Linked DNA regions of Pelodiscus sinensis. The protein of the gene in region 2 purifies or fractionates together with the protein of the main gene of each other region. This does not show direct contact. Links are inferred from orthologs where the notes say so. Each region holds a gene or a part of one and is shown on either strand. Other genes may lie near its edges.

Region 1 (7,053 bases), on a different chromosome or scaffold from region 2:
GTAAGAAAGTGGTGCATTCTGATACATTGCAAGTCAAGTCATTAGGCAAGTTTGAAGAAATGCAATGATGCGTGATAGCCCTTATAACTAGCAAAAGGTGAATCTCTTATTAGACCAACTTCTGCTGGTGAAAAAGACAAGCATTTTCAGCTCAGAGCTGTTCTTCGGGTCTGGAAATGGCAACTACAATGTCGCAGCTAAACAGAAGCTGCAACAGATTGTTCAGCATATGTAGTAAATAAACACTGTAAGACACCATTGGAGATGAAGTAGCCAGCTAACACCTCTGCAGTCACAGAACCAAAAAAAAAAAGAGGTGGGGGAGAGTTACAGATTGTTGGGATAAACCATCAATCCAGTGTCTTTATTAAACCTATGATTTGCCGCTTCTAGCAAAGTTATGAATTTAAGCTCCCAGGGTCATCTTTAGAAGGCATTGTGCAGGCTTCCTCTAGAGGATGAGGATGGAGCGATCACTTTGGGAAGATATGGAGCGATTACTTTGGGAAAAGTGTTTACACACAGGCAGTAGGATGTTTGTGTTTTATTTTTCCAAGAGTTCATTTGAGCAACCTTGTTTCATGAAGCATAACTGGCAATTACAGAAAACAAAGCTTTTTGTTGAATTGGAAACATAATGCAACAACTCTTCTCTCACTCAGACAGGAATCTATCACACTGCTGGATTTTTCTGCCCAATGCCTTGAGCACATAGCTTTTTTGATTGCTCTTCCAGACTTCTCAATAGTAAAGCCACAGATGCACCCCTTTTTATGAGCACGCTCAGAAAAATAAGAGGAATATTTAAAATAACCATACAAGTTCACCCAGAGTTTTTTTTCTACTGCATGAGCAAAAATTACAAGTTACCAAAAGAAGAGGCCCCCAGCTACAGGGTTATTAGAATCCCAGAGCAAGCTTTAACCTTTCTGCTGAACTTCTCATCTAAACCATATACTAGACAATCTTGAGGGGAAATCAAGTTTTTCCAATGATTAAAAAGCCCCAGTTATTGTTTTAAGTGAATAGGGGAAAAATGAAACCGTGGACAAATCATTCTCCTGAATAGATTGCAAGTTCACACTATCCAACTGGTATCCTCTTCCTCGAAAGGGTATTACCTGGTGCTTCAGAGGAAAGATACACACACACACCCCAGTGCAGCAGGAGAGTTGTGCAATACTGTATAAGGAGAAAGGCCAGCTCTAGCCTTACCAAAGAAAGCTACTAATAAAAATAAAGTTCAACCACTGTATGTAACTACAACCTCAACAGTCATATATGACTGCACACTGGGAATCCATAATCCCTTCTTTCTAAAAATTACTAACCATTAATTGAATCTAGTGGAACGAGCCTAATGTGTACACATGAAAAATACAGTATGATGCACATTGAACAGGAACTGACAAATTAGTCAGAAAACAAATCCAGTCCCTTGTCTTCAAACAGCCATCTAATGGTGTTTCAAAGAAGGGAAAGTCACTCTAATGCACCTAACCAATTACTGCTGGATACTGAGGCGAGGAAGTGGATTCCTTCCCAGAGCCCAGGCTAATGACCTGAAAGAGGACAGGAGACAATGGAAGAGTAGGGGGTACCGGTCTTTTCAAATTACACTCCCTGAAAAGCAGTTTGTATACGCATAACACACGAGTAACCGTCGCCCATAGCTAGTAACGGCACTAAGAAATTAGGGCGGAACAGAAGGGAGAAGAGATTGACCTGACTTGGGTGATTCCTGGGTTCAGCTAAGAGACAGGCCATGCTCTGCATGCTGCCAAAACCCCAGCAGCTGGGTTAGGAGTGGCACTGATGCAGGGCACCACCAAGCTAGGGGAAGGACAGGAGCTTCCCACCTTGGCCAAGGGGCCAGGTGCTGCTCCTGGGGCGCCTAGCCTGCCCAGTGAGGGGGCCCAGCTGTGAATAGGGGCATATCCCAGCTCTGATATGCACCCTTCTGTGCTCCCTGCAGCCAGCACAGAGACTCAGCCAGAGCCAGCTGTCCTCCCTCTGCAGCCACCTGGGTGCTCGGCCCCTACAAGGCCAGAACCTGGGGCCCCTGGCCTGCCACCGCTCGCCCCCAGGCCTCCGCACCTCCACATGCCCGGCCCTGCCTACTTCCCAGGCCTCCTACCATAAGCCTGGACCTGCCCTGCCCCCCCTTCACATGCCCTCCTGCCCCCCCCAGCCCCCCCTTCACATGCCCTCCTGCCCCCCCCGCCCCCCTTCACATGCCCTCCTACCGCCCCCGCCCCCCCTTCACATGCCCGGCCCCCCCCGCCCCCCCTCACATGCCCTCCTGCCCCCCCGCCCCCCCTCACATGCCCTCCTGCCCCCCCAGCCCCCCTTCACATGCCCTCCTGCCCCCCCCAGCCCCCTCTTCACATGCCCTCCTGCCCCCCCCGGAACCCCCCACACATGCCCGCACCCCTTCACATGCGCGGCCCCCCCTTCACATGCCCTCCTGCCCCCCCGGACCCCCCTTCACATGCCCTCCTGCCCCCCCGCCCCCGTTCACATGCCCTCCTGCCCCCCCCGGACCCCCCCTTCACATGCCCTCCTGCCCCCCCGCCCCCGTTCACATGCCCTCCTGCCCCCCCCCGGACCCCCCCTTCACATGCCCTCCTGCCCCCCCCAGCCCCCCTTCACATGCCCTCCTGCCCCCCCCGGACCCCCCCTCACACGCCCGGGCCCCCCCCCCCGCACCTCGCGCACGTCCTGCAGGCACTCGAGCACGGCCAGGTTGTTGGCCCAGCTGTGCTTGGGGCAGACCCGGCTCACGTCCTCGCGGCAGGCGGGCTCCTCCGCCAGCTTCCAGCCGCCGCCGGCGCCGCCGCGAGGCCCCCGCCCCCCGGGGCCCGGCCCGCCCGCCGCCGGCTGCGGGGCGCTCTGCGCGGCCGCCAGCGCGAGCGAGAGCAGCAGCAGCGCCAGCGGGCCCGGCCCGCGGCTCCGGACACGTCCGCACGGCGCCATCTTGGATCCGACACCTCCGGCCCGCCGCCCGGCCCGCCCCCGCGCCCAGCGCGCAGGCGCAGCAGCCCGCGCCACGCCGGGACGCCACCGAGCGCGCGGGCGGCGACGCGCCCCTTTCTCTGGCGCCCGCGCGCCGCGCATGCGCTCGCCCCCGCAGTCCTTGGCTGATGGGAGCCGACCCCGCCCTCGCGCCGAGCCGCTGGGTCCCTGCGAGCGCCGGGTCCCCACGTGCGCCTGCTGCTCCGCGCCGCTCCGCCCCGACCCCCTGCCCCCCTGCAACCCGCCCCCTGCTCCGGGCCCCCCTGCAACCCGCCCCCCTGCTCCGGGACCCCCTGCAACCCGCCCCCCAGGGCCCGGCATCCCTGCAACCCGCCCCCCTGCTCCGGGACCCCCTGCCCCGCCCCCCAGGGCCCGGCATCCCTGCAACCCGCCCCCCTGCTCCGGGACCCCCTGCCCCGCCCCCTGCTCCGGGACCCCCTGCCCCCCAGGACCCGGCATCCCTGCAACCCGCCCCCTACTCCGGGACCCCCAGCCCCCCCTGAAACCTGCCCCCCTGCTCCGGGACCCCCTGCCCCCCCCTGCAACCCGCCCCCCTGCTCCGGGACCCCCAGCCCCCCCTGCAACCCGCCCCCCTACTCCGGGACCCCCTGCCCCCCCTGCAACCCGCCCCCTGCTCCGGGACCCCCAGCCCCCCCTGCAACCCGCCCCCCTGCTCCGGGACCCCCTGCCCCGCCCCCCAGGGCCCGGCATCCCTGCAACCCGCCCCCCTGCTCCGGGACCCCCTGCCCCCCTGCAACCCGCCCCCCTGCTCCGGGCCCCCCTGCAACCCGCCCCCCTGCTCCGGGCCCCCCTGCAACCCGCCCCCCAGGGCCCGGCATCCCTGCAACCCGCCCCCTGCTCCGGGCCCCCCTGCAACCCGCCCCCCAGGGCCCGGCATCCCTGCAACCTGCCCCCTGCTCCGGGACCCCCTGCCCCCCCTGCAACGCGCCCCCTGCTCCGGGACCCCCTGCCCCCCCTGCAACCCGCCCCCCTGCTCCGGGACCCCCTGCCCCCCAGGGCCCGGCATCCCTGCAACCCGCCCCCTGCTCCGGGACCCCCTGCAACCCGCCCCCTGCTCCGGGACCCCCTGCCCCGCCCCCCAGGGCCCGGCATCCCTGCAACCCGCCCCCTGCTCCGGGACCCCCTGCCTCCCCTGCAACCCGCCCCCCTGCTCTGGGACCCCCTGCCCCGCCCCCCAGGGCCCGGCATCCCTGCAACCCGCCCCCTGCTCCGGGACCCCCTGCCTCCCCTGCAACCCGCCCCCCTGCTCTGGGACCCCCTGCCCCGCCCCCCAGGGCCCGGCATCCCTGCAACCCGCCCCCTGCTCCGGGACCCCCTGCCTCCCCTGCAACCCGCCCCCCTGCTCTGGGACCCCCTGCCCCGCCCCCCAGGGCCCGGCATCCCTGCAACCCGCCCCCTGCTCCGGGCCCCCCTGCAACCCGCCCCCCAGGGCCCGGCATCCCTGCAACCTGCCCCCTGCTCCGGGACCCCCTGCCCCCCCTGCAACGCGCCCCCTGCTCCGGGACCCCCTGCCCACCCTGCAACCCGCCCCCCTGCTCCGGGACCCCCTGCCCCCCAGGGCCCGGCATCCCTGCAACCCGCCCCCTGCTCCGGGACCCCCTGCAACCCGCCCCCTGCTCCGGGACCCCCTGCCTCCCCTGCAACCCGCCCCCCTGCTCTGGGACCCCCTGCCCCGCCCCCCAGGGCCCGGCATCCCTGCAACCCGCCCCCTGCTCCGGGACCCCCTGCAACCCGCCCCCTGCTCCGGGACCCCCTGCCTCCCCTGCAACCTGCCCCCCTGCTCTGGGACCCCCTGCCCCGCCCCCCAGGGCCCGGCATCCCTACAACCCGCCCCCTGCTCCAGGACCCCCTGCCTCCCCTGCAACCCGCCCCCCTGCTCTGGGACCCCCTGCCCCGCCCCCCAGGGCCCGGCATCCCTGCAACCTGCCCCCTGCTCCGGGACCCCCTGCCCCCCCTGCAACGCGCCCCCTGCTCCGGGACCCCCTGCCCCCCCTGCAACCCGTCCCCCTGCTCCGGGACCCCCTGCCCCCCAGGGCCCGGCATCCCTGCAACCCGCCCCCTGCTCCGGGACCCCCTGCAACCTGCCCCCTGCTCCGGGACCCCCTGCCTCCCCTGCAACCCGCCCCCCTGCTCTGGGACCCCCTGCCCCGCCCCCCAGGGCCGGGCATCCCTGCAACCCGCCCCCTGCTTCGGGACCCCCTGCAACCCGCCCCCTGCTCCGGGACCCCCTGCCTCCCCTGCAACCCGCCCCCCTGCTCTGGGACCCCCTGCCCCGCCCCCCAGGGCCCGGCATCCCTGCAACCCGCCCCCTGCTCCGGGACCCCCTGCAACCCGCCCCCTGCTCCGGGACCCCCTGCCCCGCCCCCCAGGGCCCGGCATCCCTGCAACCCGCCCCCTGCTCCGGGACCCCCTGCCTCCCCTGCAACCCGCCCCCCTGCTCTGGGACCCCCTGCCCCGCCCCCCAGGGCCCGGCATCCCTGCAACCCGCCCCCCTGCTCCGGGACCCCCTGCCTCCCCTGCAACCCGCCCCCCTGCTCTGGGACCCCCTGCCCCGCCCCCCAGGGCCCGGCATCCCTGCAACCCGCCCCCTGCTCCGGGACCCCCTGCCTCCCCTGCAACCCGCCCCCCTGCTCTGGGACCCCCTGCCCCGCCCCCCAGGGCCCGGCATCCCTGCAACCCGCCCTCCTGCTCCGGGACCCCCTGCTCCCCCTGCAACCCGCCCCCCTGCTCCGGGACCCCCTGCCGCCCCAGGGCCTGGCATCCCTGCTGTGACGTAGTGGGGGTACCTGGCTGGTTTCTATGCTGCTGGCTCTGGGGTAACCCCCACTGGCTGCCGTGGGTACCACGACCCAGCAAAACAGGATGTGTCACTATGCAAACCAGAATGGCCAGACACCCCCCATGGAGAGGAACAAAGGAAGGTGGAATGCTGCCCTGGCTGGGGGGCAGGGCTGGAAGTTAGTTGGTTGCTGGCTGGCTGTGAGCATGGAGGAGACAGCCTAGGGAGAGGAGCTGGAGTTTAGGGGCCCAGTCTCCCCCATCTCAAGGGGGCCTGAGGCATCCTAGCCCAGCTCTGTGACCAGACTACATCTGTGCTGTGCTGTATCCTGGAGAGGCAATAAACTTCCTCTATCCCACCGGCTGGTGCAGTCTGTTTGTGCCATTTCGGGGTGCAGGAGACGGGGGACCCCCAACGCGCCGTCACACCTGCAACCCGCCCTCCTGCTCCGGGACCCTCTGATCCCTCAGGCCCCGGCATCCCTGCAACCCTCCCCCTCTGCCCCGGGACCCGCTGCCCCCCCAGGGCCCGGCATCCCTGCAACCCTCCCCGCTGCTCCGGGACCCCCTGCTCCCCTCAGGGCCTGGCATCCCTGCATCCCTCCCCCACTGCTCTGGGACCCTGGCCCCCTCCATGCTTCCCCAGCCTCTACCATGCCCTCTCTGCTGCCCTCAGTCCCAGGACCCCCAGCATCCCTGATCCCCCTTCCCAGTTGTCCTGGGACCCCTGGCACCCTGCCAGTGCCCAGCCTCTCTAGCACCCACTCCGCTTCTCAAGAGCAGGCAAAGGAGAGTTCCACTGCCACTAACCCACACTGACAGCTGGGATTCTGAGTTACCCAGTTCTGTGGAGGTGCCGATATGCTGTTCTTTCATCACTGTGGTTAGTAGCTTCTAGAATTGAAAGTAAAACAAATGAATAATATTTATGAAATGTTAAGAGGAAGTTTCTAGTCCGTCCTCCCCACACAGGGAGATAACGTGCATCTCACAGGATTTTGTTTCATGATGATTTCTAGAGCCCCACAAGTCTGCGGATATCCGCTGATATCCACAGGTATGATATCTGCAGCTCGTTTTTGCGGGTATGGACACAGATGCAGATAAAAACTTTGTATCTAGAACCTTGCACATTTGCGGAGACCTGCTTTATATCTGCAGGAATGCACATCTGCGGATGTGGCTGCCGTGATCAATGAATCATTCTTGCAGACGCGGCTACCAATTTTGTGTCCACAC
Region 2 (7,841 bases):
CCGTGGGACACATACAGCCCGCAGCCCCTTTGCATGTCACCTGCGGCACCTTGAGCCGCTTCTCAGGCTGCCTGCCTGCCTCATTGCTGGGGCTCCAGCTGCAGTGCTGAGCAGCACGGCTTTGAGCCAGGCTGTGCGTGCAGGAGCTGCCAGCCAATGGAATGGGGCGAGCGGCAAAAGGTGCAGCAGAGCATGCTTGCCGCGTCTGCCACAGCAGCAGCGCCACGCCGGCGCATGCATGGGCAGAAGCATAGCGGGGGAGGGAGGCAGTTGCCCTTGGGCATCACGCTAGGGGTCATCAGGCTGGGGTGGAACCATAGTGCACAGCCCAATGCATTGCAGCGAGCCGGGAGTGCCTGGTGGGCCACATGCTCCCTGTGCAAACTGCAATCAAGCCTCCAAGTGGGCGGTGGGAGCAGCCACTTCCAAGGTAGGGTGTCTCATACCTCCAGCACCTGGCTCTGCAGGAGGGGGATTTGGTTGAGGGGGGATAAGAGGCTGGGGGTGCATTGGGCTTGAGGGGGGAGGGAGGGGTTGGGGTGGTACTGGAGTGCACAAGCCCACGAATTACGGTGATCCAGGAGCTAGCAGGCCATGTGCTTGCTCCCTGTGCAAACTGCAATCAAGCCGAGGCAGCCAGGAGCGGCCACTTGAAAGGTAGGGTTACCTGTCCCATACCTCCGGTGCCTGCCTCTGGTTGGGAGGGGCGGAGGAGGGGGGAGACTGACTCTGGGGGAGGGGTGGGTGCATTGAGATAAAGCAGTGGGCTGGGGTGCCTGGCTCTGGGGTAGAAGAGTGACCATTTCAGTAAATATTGTATTGGCAGTTTGCTTGATTTGTTAAAATTGTGAAGCCAAAACAAGCAAACAAAAACAAAAATAGTCAATATAATGGTCTTCTGTTGACATGTGTTTTAGTAGTTAAATTGCTGAACTGTCATTGCTCATTAGAACTGTTGCTATATGGGTGGAAATTGGGTAAATATTGCATTTTATTAATATCAGCAGAACTGACTTAAATGGGGCCTCCATGTCGTGTTGTCTTGCCTTAATCTTTGTATTCACGCCCATCACTGAGAAAGAAGCTATTTGCATATATATGCAGTCATGCTTCAGTTGCGGTCCTCAGCATGTGCTGTGGATATCATTTGTGGCCCCTGGGTTTTCCAAAGTTGAGTAGCCCCAATTTAGAGCACCATGATAGTCCAGGAATTACATACAGAGGCAGAAGGGAAATATAGTGTTGTGATTCAAGCAACAGAAAGTTTAAGTAATAATTTTCCCCCAGTACTGTGGCAAAAGCAACCAGGACACAGCACACAAGATTAAGTGAAGGATTTTTTTAAAAACCCTTGTCACTTCTGGCTCCTACTGCTCAAACCCTTCAACCTTCCACCATGATCCAGAATACGTCATCAAGTTTCCTCTCTTTTTGGTCCTCCGGGGGATGAATTCAAGTTCAGACTATTTAAACCAGGACTACTTCAATGCAAACTTAGGAACTTTTGGTTCATGCCCACAGGGTCTGCCTATGATAATTACAGCACAGCTCTTGACATGACCATAGTCTGAACTGCAGAACAGTGTATATGTAACCTTAATTAACTTAGAAAAAAAGCTACTCTATGGGTCTCATTTATAAGCCATGTCAAGAAGGTCCAACTCACTCTTGGGAGGGAGTGCAGCCCACTTCAATAAATGCTGATAACAGAGAAAAGGTGCAAGATTCACATCAGTTCAGAAATAAAGGTACCATGACCACAGGACACATTTTGGAGAAGGGAGATTTTTCAAACAGGCCCTACATTGTGGTTGATATCTCATGTACATGAGCAAAAGGCATGAATTTCTCACATAAAATAATTCAATTCTGAATGAGGAAGAGATATATACAGCCTAGAGTAAGGTTGAAAAGTAGCTCACTTTATACTCATCTCCAAATATAAGCACATTCTCCATATTACTCATTGTGTCCAGCAAAACAGGTTCTTTGGATTATTTTTATGGCCCAAATACCTTTTTTTTTGTACTGGCAACTAAGAGATATTAAGATAAAAAAACCTACATATTTATTATTTTAAAAGCATTCATTTATTGTCTCTGAAGAAAGGAAAAAATCTAAATGAGTTTTGCAGTACTTTGTTAGAGGTACTTAAAAGAAAAAAAAGTCACATCCCGTTAGATCATACTGTATGGAAATTAATTTAGCATTGGACTCTGCCAAGTAAATGACAATATTTTAAAGAATTGTGCATGTAGACAGAAGATCAAAAATCGTCTTTCCATTACATATCAAACATCGCCCAAAAATATTAGTGCATTTTGTATCATCAAAATCTCACAAGTAAGCTTGGATAATTTTTTTCAGTAGTCTTAAAGAGGATAATATTTTAAAGCTTTTTTTTCCTGGATTCAAATTTTCACAGTAGCACAAAATTATAGGTTCAGCACATTTCCGATTTTTAATCTATTTCAATTGTGGGGCATGTAAGAATTATTTCATGATGTTCACATTCAAAATATTAAAGTTTTATAAGTTTAAAATTTCAAGTTGTCAGTATCAGGAGTCAAAATATACAAAGGAAATAAATACTCATAAATCCAGTTCCAAAAAGATCTCAAACGTAAGACAGGCAGGACTGCCCTCTACTACTCAGAATAGTGAGTACCTACTCTATCAAACAAACATTTCCTACGCGGTAGTGAAAAGTAGTACTACAAGGTGACCAGGCACACCCTGCTTAGCAAGTGTTGGCACATTTTACCCCAATTATATAAAAATTACTTTTTAACACACCTTGCCAAAAACTATTGCCATTTTAAGATAAAAAAAGATCAATTATCCTAAAAAATCCTCAACATTAATTTAGTTTGAATATGTTCAATAAGATTGATGTTACTCACCGAAATCCTGTCCGATTCCCCTTCAAACAAAACAGTCTCCATGTTGAAAGATGCCTTGTCTCTGTATCTCTTTCAACTAGAGTTCCTCCATTCTGCAAACTTGCATATCCTGGAAGAAAACAACAGAGGGCATCATCAGTGGCTGAAATTAGCGAACCTTACCAATAGATATCCTTAATGTTCAACAGTATAACAGAACACTGCTCAACAAAAATTATGACTTTACTCCTACCGTATATCTTTTACACCATAATGTCCTCAAAGATTCCATATATTATCTGTACAAAAGGCCTATAAAAATAATTAAAGGTTGCAAAGTGAATCATGTAAAACTCAAGCAATGATCACATTGAAGTTGGCCGATTTTCTACACACATTGTGATGGCACATTATTTTTAAAGACTATTTTCCCCACAGGATCCCACCTGCGCTAAAAAGTCAGTTTGTCAACAATAAGCAAAAAACCAGTTTCCTTCTACAGCTTCTTACATCTTCTTAGTTCAATGTGCAGGCCTCCGTTACTGTACAACATCCAAACCCTACAGTGAACATGGAATGGTTTTCCTTTACAAGCTTGTTTGTCGCATTTTATTCAGAAATTGTTATGATCTCCCCCCATAATTTAAGTAGTAGTATATACAGAACTGAGGCAGGGGCTAAAAGACTTTGCCACTTATGGTGCCATTTTTGGACAAGCCAGGGACTGGATTTTTTTTTCCCCAAGTCCTACTCAAGACACACAGCATGATTCTACCCCTTCAGGACTACTACCTTATTCCCTACCTGTGATGCAATGTTTTGCATAAAACAAGGAAAGGGTAGTATGATACTAGGCTTGTTCACGCCACACTATAAAATCACTGAAGACACACATTGATTGCTCTGGACCCCCATTCCTGTTTAATATACATAACAAATTAAGGCCAGGTTTGAGAAAGAGTGTGTGTATAAGATCATATAATTAGAGACAGTATCAGTCCATACAAAAGGACAGAAATTCCACCATGAACAATTACTAGTATCAAACATTCTGTAACCAAGTTTTTTTTTTTTTTTAAAGTCATGCATTAAGATAAAAATCCTATAGGAACCGTATATAAAATTAACATTTATTTCAATAAATGCATCACAGTAAGACAGTGCTAAATCAGAGAAAATTTTAACAGAAGAACGGCCATACTGGGTCAAACCAAAAGTACATTTAGCCCAGTATCTTCTGACTGTGGCCAAAGCCAGGTGCTCCAGAGGGAATGAACAGAACAAGTAATCATTAAGCGCTTCATTCCCTATTGCCCATTCTGAGCTCCTGGCAACCAGAAGCCAGGTACATCATCCCTGCATATCCTGTCTAATAGCTGTTGATGGAACTACTATCCATACATTTATATAGTTATTTTTTAAAACCCTGGTATAGTCTTGGCCTTCACAACATCCTCTGGCAAAGAGTTTCACAGGTTGACTGTGCACTACGTGAAGAAATACTTGATTTTGTTTTAAACCTGCTGCCTATTAATTTCATTTGGTGACCCCCTAGTTCTCATGGTATGAAAATAGGTAAATAGGACTTCCTAGTATAAAACCAGCAGCCATGGTTTTATAGACCTATCATATCACCCCCTTAGGTTGTCTCTTTTTCCAAGCTAATGAGTCTTATTAATCTTTCCTCATACGGAAGCTGTGCCAAATCCCTAATAATTACTGTTGTTCCTTTCTGAATCTTTTCCAAATACATATTTTTTTGAGGTGGAGTAACAACTCTACTTGCATGCAATATTCAAGATGCAGGAGTACCATAGATTAACACAGAAGCAATAAGGTATGTTCTGTCTTTTTCTCTATCCCTTTTTTAATGATTCCTAACATTGTGTTTGGTTTTTTGACTGCTGCTGCACAATGTGGATAGTTCTCTGAAAACATCCACTCAATGACTCCAAGATCTCTCTTCAGTGGTAACAGCTAATTTAGTCCCCATGATTTTGTACATATGGAAAAAATAATCCCTAATAATGTGCCTTACTTTGCGTTTATCAACATGAAAATTCATTTGCCACTTTGTTGCCCCATCACCTAGTTTTGTGAGATCCGTCTGAAGCTCTTCACAGTCTGCTTTAGTCTTAACTATCTTGAGCAGTTTAGAATTTCTGTATTAAAATACATAACAGCATTTCAAGGGCTCTCAGCAAGATCCCGACAGCAGCTAACTTATATCCAACAATGGTGAAGTATTAGCCAGACCTTTCCGCCAAGATGAGAGAAACAGTGACAACTTTTAAAGTATCCTTGGTTAGGATTTTGAACCAGTATCCAATAGAGATAAAAAGCCTAGAGCTACTGTTTCATACTATTTGCAAGTAAACCAATGTTGATATACATTGTGCACTGTTGGGTTACTTCACAACTACAATGGCTACAGACTCAAATTTTCAGCCATATAATGCGTCCTTTACATTTTAAGGAGTCTATTATTTTTAGTCTTCAAAAACATGCAAACAATGAAATATAGGCACACTAAACTGTTACTGATTCAATAAAGTTTCTGCAAGTGGCATCAGACTGACTGTGGAAATGCAGCTCAAGTTACCAAAACAGGCTCATCCTTTCAAGTCTGGGACAGCCATGATAGCACTCCAAACACACTATTCTATAGGAAAGACTTCTCAAAATGTGGTTAATCAAACACGCTCAGGGTACATCTACACTAGCCCCCTTGTTCGAACTAGGGAGGCTAATGAGGGCGACCAAAATTGCAAATGAAGCACAAGATTTAAATATCCCGCGCTTCGTTAGCATGTTCCCGGCTGGTCGCCATTTTGGAAATTGACTAACCTGAAATAACTGTCCGCGTCTACACGCGGCAGAGAAGGGCAATTCCAAAATAAACCTCATTCCAAGTAAGGAGTTTAACTATTAATTCGAAGTAAGAGGTTTATTTCAGAATCGCCCTTCTCTGCCGTGTGTAGACGTGGGCGGTTATTTCAGGCTAGTCAATTTCCAAAATGACGACCAGCCAGGAACATGCTAACGAAGCGCGGGATATTTAAATCCCGCGCTTCATTTGCAATTTTGGTCACCCTCATTAGGCTCCCTAATTCAAACTAGGGGGCTAGTGTAGATGTACCCTCAGTGTGGTAGAGTCTGAGAAACAATTCTACTAAGCAGAAAAACAAGGTATATATTTTTTGTTTGCACTCCCTCTCTGGTAATTCAAAATGGATAGGGTCTCATCAGCAATTCCACAACAGATATATGGCAGTCAGAGGGAGAACTGAGGAAACAAAACTGAGACAGAGACTGGCAGGACTTGATAGCAAACGGAAGATTCTTGGAAAGCCAAGTATGTGGAAAAGACATCCATGAACGACTACATGACAAGCTTAAAACCACTGAACTGAGGAATTCTCTTTTTAGTTTAAGGGTCTGCTACAACATAGCTGGGATGGTATATGGAATCTGGGACACTTTAAGACATGAATATCAATATTGTAGAATGCAGTGAGTTGTGCCAGATATGCCTTGTAAGATTTATGCAAAATTGATATAATCTCATTTATATGTTTGTATCACATTTGTATTTTGGATTATGAGCATGTAGGTCTGGTGTTACAAAACTTGTGTTATGCTTCTGGGTGACAACCAGAGAGAGTTTGGTAATGCACTGCCTAGCCTTGTTGGTACACCCAGGACCATCAACTATTCAACTGACCCATTGAGAAGAGGCAAGTGCTATGCCATAATATTCAACAAAGCATGTAAGGGCATGCCTATGGACAGAACTCTAGCCTCCCCAGGCTAGGTGCTAGGCAGCTTGTGTTGGGATAGTTTGAACCTCTTTAGTCCAGAACTCTCTGGTCCAACATGATCTGTGGTCTAGTAGGACCACAGATGTTGCTGGACTAGAAAGTCCCAGTCACAGAGGTTACCAGCAGCTGGGAGCTCAGCCAGTTTTGCAGCCTGCAGGGCCAGTGGCCTGAGGGCACCAAGCTTGGCCAGTGGGCTGGCAGCTGGAGCATGGCCAACTAGGGGCACAGAGCTCTGCCAGCTGGAGCAAAGGCAGGAGAAATGAGCCCCACCAGCCGGGAACTGAGCTCTGCTAGCCACAACAGCCAGGCTGCTGGGTAGACGTAGCCCCACTGGCTGGAGCGGGGCTGGGAACCTGGATTGGAGCCCTGCCAGCCGGCCAGGGACAGCATATCAGCTGGGCTGGTGGCCAAGTGGCGAGTCCCACAAGGCCCCCAGGCCTTACCTCCCCTGATCTGGCAAACTACCCTGTTCGGGACTGCACAGGTCTCAAGGGTGCCAGATCAGGGAGGTCCAACCCGTAGAAGCTACATGGCAAAAGGAATAATCAAGGCAGCTTGCATCTTCTCCATTTTGTCTTCATTTCTGCTTCTTACCTCTAGAATAACCTTTCTAGAGACAAAGCTTGGGAGGTGTGGGGTTGGAGGGGAGACTGAATGAGTTATCCAAGCTGTAGTTGTCTTCCAGAGTGACTTTCAAGCAAGCAGACTCATCAATACTACTAGGAACCTCATATATGGACTTCGAAGTCTTTGCATGTATATGATTGTTTTACTATTTAACATCTCTACTTGTTTTTTTGTCTTGTTTATTTAGAATAAACTTTTAGATTTAGACACTGAAGTATTGGAGTAGGTTGCAATTGTGCCCAATTGGTGTGATTACAATCAACCAGTGTGACTGTGATTTGACATAACTGAGTTAACAGAGGACTCTAGGGCTATGTCTAGACTGCAGGCTTCTTTCGAAAGAGGCTCTTTCGAAAGCATCTTTCGAAAGAGCCTCTTTCAAAAGATCGCGTCTAGACTGCAGGCGGATCTTTCGAAAGAGAAATCTGCTTTTTCGAAAGAGAGCACCCAGCGAGTCTGGATGCTCTCTTTCGAAGACGGCCTCTTTACATTGAAGAACGCCTTCTTTCGA

Evidence for each region.
Region 1: the proteins of OSBPL8 (region 2) and GLG1 purify together in Homo sapiens (co-immunoprecipitation; 3 studies listed by BioGRID and IntAct, with this or other methods). This does not show direct contact. The link is inferred for Pelodiscus sinensis from reciprocal best matches to the Homo sapiens genes OSBPL8 and GLG1.

The regions. Positions count from the first base shown.
Region 1 is NC_134722.1:48,258,007-48,265,059, reverse strand, and holds the start of GLG1 (Golgi apparatus protein 1), read right to left. Parts: upstream 3,009-7,053; 5' UTR 2,977-3,008; coding exon 2,710-2,976; intron 1-2,709. UniProt on the Homo sapiens protein: Binds fibroblast growth factor and E-selectin (cell-adhesion lectin on endothelial cells mediating the binding of neutrophils).
Region 2 is NC_134711.1:68,315,122-68,322,962, forward strand, and holds the start of OSBPL8 (oxysterol-binding protein-related protein 8), read right to left. Parts: upstream 3,013-7,841; 5' UTR 2,946-3,012; coding exon of another isoform or gene 2,904-2,945; intron 1-2,903. UniProt on the Homo sapiens protein: Lipid transporter involved in lipid countertransport between the endoplasmic reticulum and the plasma membrane: specifically exchanges phosphatidylserine with phosphatidylinositol 4-phosphate (PI4P), delivering phosphatidylserine to the plasma membrane in exchange for PI4P, which is degraded by the SAC1/SACM1L phosphatase in the endoplasmic reticulum.